Linked DNA regions of Macaca fascicularis. The protein of the gene in region 2 interacts with the protein of the main gene of each other region in a biochemical or structural test. Links are inferred from orthologs where the notes say so. Each region holds a gene or a part of one and is shown on either strand. Other genes may lie near its edges.

The links. The genes of interacting proteins can lie anywhere in the genome.
Region 1: the proteins of UBE2D1 (region 2) and SIAH2 form a complex in vitro, tested with the Homo sapiens proteins (3 studies listed by BioGRID). The link is inferred for Macaca fascicularis from reciprocal best matches to the Homo sapiens genes UBE2D1 and SIAH2.
Region 3: the proteins of UBE2D1 (region 2) and TRIM22 form a complex in vitro, tested with the Homo sapiens proteins (2 studies listed by BioGRID). The link is inferred for Macaca fascicularis from reciprocal best matches to the Homo sapiens genes UBE2D1 and TRIM22.

Annotation. Positions count from the first base shown.
Region 1 is NC_088376.1:53,592,216-53,594,575, forward strand, and holds the end of SIAH2 (E3 ubiquitin-protein ligase SIAH2), read right to left. Parts: intron 2,075-2,360; coding exon 1,517-2,074; 3' UTR 502-1,516; downstream 1-501. UniProt on the Homo sapiens protein: E3 ubiquitin-protein ligase that mediates ubiquitination and subsequent proteasomal degradation of target proteins.
Region 2 is NC_088383.1:88,326,482-88,330,592, reverse strand, and holds the start of UBE2D1 (ubiquitin-conjugating enzyme E2 D1), read left to right. Parts: upstream 1-1,311; 5' UTR 1,312-1,507; coding exon 1,508-1,531; intron 1,532-4,111.
Region 3 is NC_088388.1:68,342,097-68,345,620, reverse strand, and holds part of TRIM22 (E3 ubiquitin-protein ligase TRIM22), read left to right. Parts: intron 1-504; coding exon 505-600; intron 601-1,562; coding exon 1,563-1,793; intron 1,794-3,524. UniProt on the Homo sapiens protein: Interferon-induced E3 ubiquitin ligase that plays important roles in innate and adaptive immunity.

The sequences.
Region 1 (2,360 bases), on a different chromosome or scaffold from region 2:
TCCAGCCTCCGTCTCAAAAACAAAAACAACAACAACAACAAAAAAGGGAAACTGGGACACTGAAGTAAGCAGCCTTCAATCCTTGCTGAGCATTTGGCCCTAATCCTCTCAATTCTTTTGAGAGTTTAGGGTTGGGACTGAGGCAGTGGGTCACCATGGATCAACCCTAGCACTCTGGATGTCAGCACTGGCCAAGCGTCTTCCTTCTGACTCTGTAAAGCAGGAGCAATCCTCTTCTTGCACAGCTACTGGCACCATCAGATAGAAACGACAGCCCTGGGAGGAGACCTGCTGCACTGACATTCAGTGGTTCAGACACGTGAGCCCGGACCCCAGTGCTGTCATGGACCCACGCCATGACTTGGCCCAGTGACTGTTTCCACAGTGGAAACAGTGAAAGTTCCAACCCCAGATGTAGTGATGAAGGTTCACTGCACTTGCACACAGTAGATGCTCAATAAATACCCGTTATTCAATTAGGGAAATGAAGCACAACATCCATTTTTGGAAAATATTTATTAAAAAACTAGTGAATGTGGCAGAAAAACAAAACCAACACACAGCTTTAAATAGCAAGCATATGACACACCGGTTATAAAGCTTTTCCAACTCTACTGACCTCGTCTTTCACACCAGCTACTGTCGACGAGGGCTTCCGAGGGAAGCCATGTGTAAACGGGTCATCTGTACTAGTGGTGAGCAAAACTAATTACATGAGAACTATCAATGGCCATATGACTTTCTTTCCTAGGCAATCCACCCAAAACATAGGTGAGTGACCAAATCTCAGGCGTGTGTTCATGTGGATCTATAGTTCTACTAGTTTTAATTTGAGGGTTGGGGGAGGTTAGGGGATGAAACAGTAGAAAGACAAACAGTATCGGCAGAGGGCAACCTTAAAGCACCTTTAAAATCTGGACCCTTTCCCACAATTTAACCCAGTAATTCTCAAACATTACTGCTGAAAAGAATCACCTGATGAGACTGTTAAATTGGCAGGCTCCCTAAATCTGCAATTTTAAGATAAGCACTCCGGGTGATTCAGTGTCTATTAGCCAGCCATCCTATTTGAGAAACACTGTTTAAAATGCATTAAAACAATTCCTACATCCCACAAACAAAAGTAAAGGAATCTGCTGACAGTCACTGTGCTTTTGTCAATGTCAAGGGACCAATACGCGAAGGCAGGCAGGAAGGGGCCTCCCATTCCTGACACACTGATCTATAGAAGCCCTGTGCAACAGCCTGTCAAGTGTTGTTTAGGGAGTAAATACAATTTAATAAGAGTTATTTTAGATCACAGAACAGCCTCCAAATTACCAACAGGCCAACCACATTCATCCCAGGTTAATGAACTTTGTTGGGTTGAAGCCAGATGGGAAACTGCTGTTCAAACAAAACACGGGTAATTGTGGGTCCTGACTTGTGAAGACATATGGAATAAAACATCTATAAAAACCTTTATTAAACATAGAGCACTATGCCCAAATAATTTTGATGGTTTACGAAAGTCACATCATGGACAACATGTAGAAATAGTCACATTGATTCCAAGGTTCCCATTATCTGCAAAAAGATGTGCTATGGCTGTGTCGAAAACAAGGCAGTCGCTGTTCATGATGGCCGCAGCCACACCGTCATGAATCGACCGGGGTGTGGCCTCCCAGGTCAATCTCCGCCGGTTCCCATTCAACTCCAGTCTATAGGCAAAGTTCTCAGCTTGCTTGCGGGTGCCAATGAGCAGGACGATGGCAAAAAACTGCTGGTGGCCTTCGTACTTCTCTTGTTTCTCCAGCACCAGCATGAAGTGATGGCCAAAACATGACTGCATCATCACCCAGTCGACAGCCCCTGGCAAGTTAATGTCTGTAGCTAGAAAGACGATGTCTTCTCCTTGGAGGGTGGTAATGCTCTTGTGGGCATGCATGAGATGGGACATCACAGCTTCCAGGGACCCCTGCCACTTGCAGGAGGCACCAGGACAAGGGCAGGAGTAGGGACGGTATTCACAGATGTCTTCATGTTCTGGTTTCTCCGTATGGTGCAGGGTCAGGGAACAGCCCGTGGTGGCATACTGCAGAGAAAGAAATGCATTGAGCCATTGGGCCTTCTCAAAACTTCTATTGCTTCAACCCTCTCTGAGTACTTAACTACTCCCTTTTCCTGGCCTTAAACTGGTCTTGGCTACTTTTGCTCAAAACAAGTGAAATATTCAAGACTAAAAGTCTCAGTCTCTGCTCATCATCAATGCTGTCATGCATAAAATCAAGGGTCTTTTCCTGAACCAGAAATATGCTGTTTTCCATGCCCCCTGTTCTGCTGTCAAAAGGATAAGAAGTAAAGTTCTCTTACTATGCACA
Region 2 (4,111 bases):
CTTTATCCAATCCACCATTAATGAGCACCTAGGTTGACTCCATGTCTTTGCTATTGTGAATAGTACTGATGAACATGTGAGAACATATATCTTTTTGGTGGAATAATTTGTTTTCAGTTGCATATATAACCAGTAATGGGATTGCTGGGTCAAATGGTAGTTTTGTTGTAAGTTCTTTGAGAAATCTCCAAACTGTTTTCCACGATGGCTGAACTAATTTACATTCCCACTAACAGCATATAAATGTTACCTTTTCTCCTCAGCATCACCAACATCTGTTGATGTTTTCACTTTTTTTTTTTTCCTTTTTGAGACAGAGTCTTACTCTGTCGCCCAGGCTGGAGAGCAGTGACTCCATCTCAGCTCACTGCAACCTCCGCCTCCCGGGATTAAGCGGTTCTCCTGCCTCAGTCTCCTGAGTAGCTGGGATTACAGGCGCCCACCACCATGCCCAGGTAATTTTTGTATTTTTAGTAGAGATGGGATTTCACCATGTTGGCCAGTCTGGTCTCGAACTCCCAACCTCAGGTAATCTGCCCGCCTCAGCCTCCCAAAGCCCTAGGATTACAGGCGTGAGCCACTGTGCCCGGCCAAGAAGCCAAGTTTTAATGGGTACACAAGTGCCCAGGAATTGGAGAGTGGGGAGTGTGCGTTGACTATTAGTCAGAGACTGTCAATGGAAGGGAAGGAGTCAACGATGGGAGTGAGAGCTCTGAACTCGGTGTTCGAAGCGGGTAATTTATGGGAGGGGCATACCTATGAGCAGACAATGCACTCAGACACGGAAGATCTGTGCATTGGACAGAAGAGACACCTTTTTCCTCTGCAGTAAGAACCAAGGAGGTAAGTAAGGGGTCTGATAGATATGAGTTTGTGCATGTGTGCTGGGTGAGTAATTGAGATAATTCATATATTTGAGAAAAGACAGTGAAATATTTAAAGGTAAATATAATAAAACCAGCTGTGGCACCTATTGGATAAGGAATTACTAACTGATGATTTAGAAATTCCTTTATGTGCGTTAGGAGCTCATTTGTTATCCCCATTTTACAGATGCGCAGCCCCAGGTTCAGTAACTTGCTCTAAATGAGACTGTAGAGACTAACTCCAGCACCCGGCAGCTCTCACCTTAAGCTGCCTGGCTAAGGTCAGCAGCAAGTAACCTGGCAGCGTCTGGGGGCCTGCGGCCGAGGACAGGGCTGGAACTACACTTCCCAGTATGCCAGGCGGGGCGGGGCGCGGCGGGGAGGGCGCAGGCTCCTTCCCAGAAGCAAAAGCGGAAACAAAAGAGTCTCGCCGGCCTCCCCGCCCGCACACTCGCGCACACTCGCGCTCGGGCGCAGACGGAGCAGGGACCGGCGCCCGGAGCGAGCCAGGGAGCGGCGAACCGGGGACCCACCGCGCGGAGCCAGCTGAGCTGCCAGCGAGCCCAACTCGCGAAGACTCACGCCCCCGAGCCCCGCAGCCGACCCCTGCCGGCCGGTGTCCCCACCGCGATCCCTGATCCATGGCGCTGAAGCGGATTCAGAAAGTGAGTGCCGGGGCCGGGCCTGGGGCTGCGGGGCAGCAGGGCAGCGGCGCCTGCCCACGCTGACTCGGCCAGTGGTCCCGAGAGATATGCAGGGAGAGCACGGGATGGAAGGGTGGGCCGGGGTGCGGGCAGGGAGCTGGAGGCTCGGGCCCGGCCAGCGGGCACCGGACAGGTTAGGTGGGAGCGGGGGCAGATCCCAGGCGGCCGGGGGAGCTTGAAGGCTGGGGGCCCGTGGCGCGCTCGCGCCGGGGCCGCTCCCGGAGCCCCAGGGTAGAGAGCCTCCTCCGCGTCCAGACCGCCCCGAAATCTGTGCTTCACGGTCACGGCTGGGTTTTGCCCTCCATGAGGCTAGTTTTGACCCCTGTCATGCTGTGTTTTCTCCAGGCTGTTTCTTAAGCCTGTCTCTTTTATGTTCTTGCTTACCCGGGCTCCCCGGGAGGGCACGGAAGGTGGGGTGGGCCTGCAGCCTTTCTCCGCGGAGCTGTCGGGTTGGTTCTTTCTCCTCTGCGGTTGGCTCTTGCTCAGTTGCCCGAATGGGCTGGAAAGCCCATTTGCGGCCAAGAAGCCAAGAGAAGGCTCCTGCCCCTTCTATTTTGGTGCCTCTGCTGCTGCCACTTCAGGTCACATAGCTGTAGCGAAAACATAGTTGCTGATACACAACAAGATGACCTCCTGGCTGTGATTCACGGTGAGTCAAGCCAAACAGGTTTTTTTTGCCCCTCATGGTAAACTTAGATGTAAAGTTCGAGACACAACATAAACTGTCGCAAATAGATTGTTTTGATGCTTTGACACATGGGTATAAAATGAGGAAGAAATATGTATCTTCATCCAACAACTGTTCACCCATCTCAACCCTGTGTGTGGAATTGTCTTTTTTTCACAGTATTTATTGCCACCATTTCAGAAGCGAACATCCTTCAGAATTGATATTCGGGCATTTCTTTCTGTTCATTTTTATTTCTTGTTGGTCTGTGTACTGACCCAAGTTTTAGGTTTTACAGTTACAGTTCACACTGGGAACATTGAGAATGTGTTTGTTAAATAGGGAGTGCTTTTCACTAAGTTAAGCAACAATGGTCAGTGTATTTTGTAGTTGTTTCAGAAGAAATTAATGCCCACATTTTTATCTACTTTTTTGACCAGTAGTCCATTATAGCAATAGTAAATGTTAGAGAGTGATAGTGACGTACACATTGTATTCTGACTAGCCACTAGTGGCATCTTTAGGTACAGAGGACAGCAACTTTTAGAGCCTGCCAGTTTTTTATTTTCAAATTCTAAATCTGTTGATCACCTGTTATTTTTTGTCCCATTTAAAGGTCGTCTCATTGTAAAACATACAGTTAACAATCAGCATCAGCATTTATTAAGTTATAATGTTTTCTTGTTTGAAGATAGTTCAGTTACACGTTGTTTTATATAAATATCCTAATTTTGAAGCCTCAGTCGGCCTCTTTACCATAACTTGCATACTTATTAATGACGACGTAATATTGGTTCACATTTGGATCAGAAAATGCACATCTTCCAAGGAAGTTTTCAAATTCTATTTCCTTCTTTCCTAGTTGTGAGAATTTTTCACATGATTTTGCACATACAAGAGCTTTTTAAATTATCACTGTGTTTTTTTAAGAGATGGGGATCTCAGTATGTTGCCCATGCTGGTCTTGAACTCCTGTCCTCCAGAGAGTCTGGGATTACAGGCACAAGTCACCATACCCAACTATAACAATAGCGTTTAAATGCTGTGCAATTTGTCCACAGTAAGTGGATATTCAAAGAAATATGAACATTGTTTGTAAATACCATACTTGGCAGTTCTCGTCAATCACCATGCTGAACTGGTGTATTTGATTTGTATTTATAATGTGTGTGTCCAAATCTTTTCTTTTTAGTATTTATTGGTTATTAGTTTATAGAGTTGTTCAGAAAAAAAAAATTACTTACATGGAATTGATATCAAACATGTGACAAATCGATATTTTGGAGAAGAAATTGGGATCATATACCATCACATCTCTGTGCGTTCATCTTTGGCTTCCCTTTCTGATATCAGGCAAGTTAACTTACACAAGTCTTTCCATTAATCACACATTCAGACCGTTTCCTCAAACCTTAGGGGTGATTATTTTGATTGATTCCCTATTTTTCCTCCTCCTTTATCTACCTCCTTGATTAGAAGCCAATTCTAGGTCAGTTGTGCCGCCTGCCATATGAACAGTTATACCATCTTCTTCTTTGATGTCATCAGTATAGACATTCTTATTTGAATCTTTCATGTTCCAACAAATGAAGATGTATACTAACTTTTGGCCTTTCTTCCTAAGCTCCTATTGAAGTGTTACTATAGTTTTCCTGTACCTAAAGTTGCAGACTGTAGAGCTGTGTGGAACCTCAGATAAGTCTGCCGTAGTGTACTAGAGGGTACCAGCACGGGAACAGCTTCTAGGGTAGTGTCTTAGAATCACCTGAGGGACGTTTTCAGACTGTCGTCACTTCTATAAATGGAGAGGTGTTGAATCCCTCAGATGGGTTGGGGTGGAAAGAAGACTGAGAACCACTGATGTTCTGGCCTGT
Region 3 (3,524 bases), on a different chromosome or scaffold from region 2:
CCCCTTTTCACCATAGAACTGAGAGCCCTGTGATCTCTTTCCAAACTCTTTACTTAGTTTCTGAAGCCTGAAGGACAGTGCTGCACGTTGCTTTTATTTAAAAGAGTACATTTTTTAGCAAGGAAAAGTTGAATGAATGGAGAATTGCTTTGTAAGATAAGCTTTAATTGCCACTCCGAGAAGAAAGGTGTTTTTGAGAACATGTCTTGTTAGATGTGGCAAAAGTGGCAATGAAAGGAAGTCTTTCCTTAATGCAGGGTCTGCTTTTTCTCTAGGAAAAGAATCAGGCTACTCTTGATAAGGGGATGGTAACTTCCATCATCCAGTAATAAAGAATACGTTCATCTCCTCAGATTTTCCCCCATGCCATAGGTTCTAATCACCAGCCTCACTGTTTCTGTAAACTAGTCCCTTCTGAGAGCCATCCGATTTCTTCCTTGCTATCCTCTATCCAGGTGCTGAGAAAACTCATAACTTTACTCTGGTATAATTTCTTTCTCACAGGAAAAGCTGCAGGCAGCCCTGCAGAAGCTGACAAAGGAGGATCAAGAAGCTGAGAAGCTGGAAGATGACGTCAGACAAGAGAGAACCGTCTGGAAGGCAGGAGGAGACACCTCCTAAGGGATAATTAGACAGGAATCTGGGCAGGACCTTGGGCTCTATCACAAGGAGACCACTTCCCCTTTGCTGTGCTAGAATTAACAATTATAGAAGTCATATGATTAGGTCTCATTTAATTCCTTCCTTGTTGGAGTTTGGGGGCTGGAGAGCAGACATATCATAAATCAACACAATATTTGGAAGTGAAGGCATGGAGGGAAATACCTGTGAAAATGCTTCCTGTGAATCCTGTGTTCCATTTGTGTCATCAAGTTTGAGGCTCCAATCCTTCCAGTAAACAACCTGAGGAAAGACCCAGGATTCCCTGTTTAGGTGGTTTGGGTAGGGGAATTTTTTTTTTTTTTTTTAGACAAGAGTCTCGATTTGTCATCTAGGCTGGAGTGCAGTGGAGTGATCTCGGCTCACTGCAACCTCTGCCTTCCCGGTTCAAGCGATTCTCCTGCCTCAGCCTCCCAAGTAGCTGGGACTACAGGCACGTGCCACCATGCCCGGCTAATTTTTTGTATTTTCAGTAGAGATGGGGTTTCACCATGCTAGCCAGGATGGTCTTGATCTCCTGAGCTCGTGATCCGCCCACCTCTGCATCCCAAAGTGCTGGGATTACAGGCGTGAACCACTGTGCCCGACCAGGTAGAGGGATTTAAGAGAGAGAAAGGCAAGGTTGTTCAGGACAGGTGTCTATAATCCAAGCCTCACCCAAGCATCACATTTTGTCTCAGATTAGGCCTCAATAAAAGACTTGAGTGTATTGCTTTGGAAGGAGTTCCGGTTAAAAAATAGAAAAGCATGGCTTCACCAGAAATTGTGTATTGGCTTTTGCCTCGTATTCCTTTTGAGAACTCCCTGAGGAAAACAGTTCTTATCCTGGCTCCCAGGCTCATACAAAGCAGGCCTTCAACCAGCCAGACTGACTGCCTCTTTCTCTTCTCTTCTCATTCAAGAATTATATCCAGCTCGAGAGACAGAAGATTCTGAAAGGGTTCAATGAAATGAGAGTCATCTTGGACAGTGAGGAGCAGAGAGAGCTGCAAAAGCTGGAGGAAGGTGAGGTGAATGTGCTGGATAACCTGGCAGCAGCTAGAGACCAGCTGGTCCAGCAGAGGCAGGATGCCAGCAAGCTCATCTCAGATCTCCAGCGGAGGTTGAGGGGGTCATCAATAGAGATGCTGCAGGTAAGACTTGGGATGGAGCACCTACATATGAGATTAGGGGAAAAACACAGAGGCTGATTTTCCTTCCCTTCCCAGTCTCTAGGCTTTCTTCTGTGTGGTGACATTAAATGGTTCCTTTGGCCTGGCAGTGCCCCTTTTATGCCCATCATTTCAGGAGTCACAGAGATAATTAAGTGTATGAGTGGCAAAGGAAATTCCCTTTATTATTTACTTATGAGAGGCAGTGTAAAAATTTGAGCTTGGAGAGAAGATTCTTTGTACCATGAGCAAATTCGTTTTAGAACTTCCCCATCACATCAAAAACATTTCTCATGCCTGTTTACAGTCAATATCTGCTTCTACCTCCACCTCCTGGCAACCAATCTGTTTTCTGTCTGTATAGAATTGGCTTCTCTGGACATTTCAATATGAATTGAATTATACAACATGTAGTCTTTTGCATCTGGCATCTTTAATTTAGCATAATATTTTGAGGTTTATTTATATTGCAGTATGTATCAGCATTTTGCTCTTTCTTATTGCTAATACTATTCCATTATCTGAATAAATCATGTTATGTTTGTGTATTCACCAGTTGGTGGCTATATGAATATTTTCCAGTTAGGGACTATTATGAATAATGCTACAGTAAACATTCACTTACATGTCCTCATACAACCATGTTTTCATTTATCTTGAGTAGATTTTAAGAGTGTTATATGTTAAGTTTATGTATAATTTTTAAGTTGTTGTACTATTTTCCAAAGTCGTTACTCATTCTATATGAGTAACAATATAAAAGCTTATAAAAAGTAATATAAAAAGTTTTTAGGTTCTTCACATCCTTTTTAATACTTGATATTTCCTTCTTTTTTTTTTTTTTTGTTTAGTTACAGCCTTTCTAGTGGGAATGTAATGGTATCTCAATGTAGTTTTAATTTGCTTTTTCCTAAAAACTAACACTGCTGAAAAGCTTATTATTTCCACATGTAGATTCTGTACATCTCTTTTTAGAGTTTATCCTATTTTTTATTTTTGGTGCTATTGTGATTTTTTCTATTTCAAATTTCAATTCTTCATTGCTGGCACATAGAAAAGAAATTGACTTTAGTGTTTTAATCATGTATATTGCAACCTTGCTATAATTACTTATTAGTCATAGAAGAGTTTTTTTTAATGTCAATTCTTTGGCATTTTCTACATAGAGAATCATGTCATCTGAGAATAAAGTTAATTATTTCATACTTTGCAGTTTGTATAGTTTTCTTTTCTGTTTTTTTTGTTTGTTTGTTTGTTTTGTTTTGTTTTGTTTTGTTTTGTTTTGTTTTTTGGGAGAAGGAGTCTTGCTCTGTTACCCAGGCTGGAGTGTAGTGGCATGATCTCAGCTCACTGCAACCTTCACCTCCTGGGTTCAAATAATTCCCCCTCCTTAACCTTCCAAGTAGCTGGGACTAGCGCACACTGCCACACCTGGCTAAATTTTTTTTTATATTTTAGTAAAGACAGGGATTCACTGTGTTGCCCAGGCTGGTCTCGAACTCTTGAGCTCAGGCAATCTACCTGCCTTGGCCTCCCAAAGTGCTAGGATTACAGGCATGAGCCACCACGCCCAGCCAGCAGTTTGTATAGTTTTCATGTGTCTTCACTTATTTTATTGCACTAACCAGGACTTCTAGTACAATGTTCAGTAGGCATGGAGAGAGGGGATATCCTTTCCTTTTTCCTGACCTCAGGAGGAAAGTACTCAGTCTC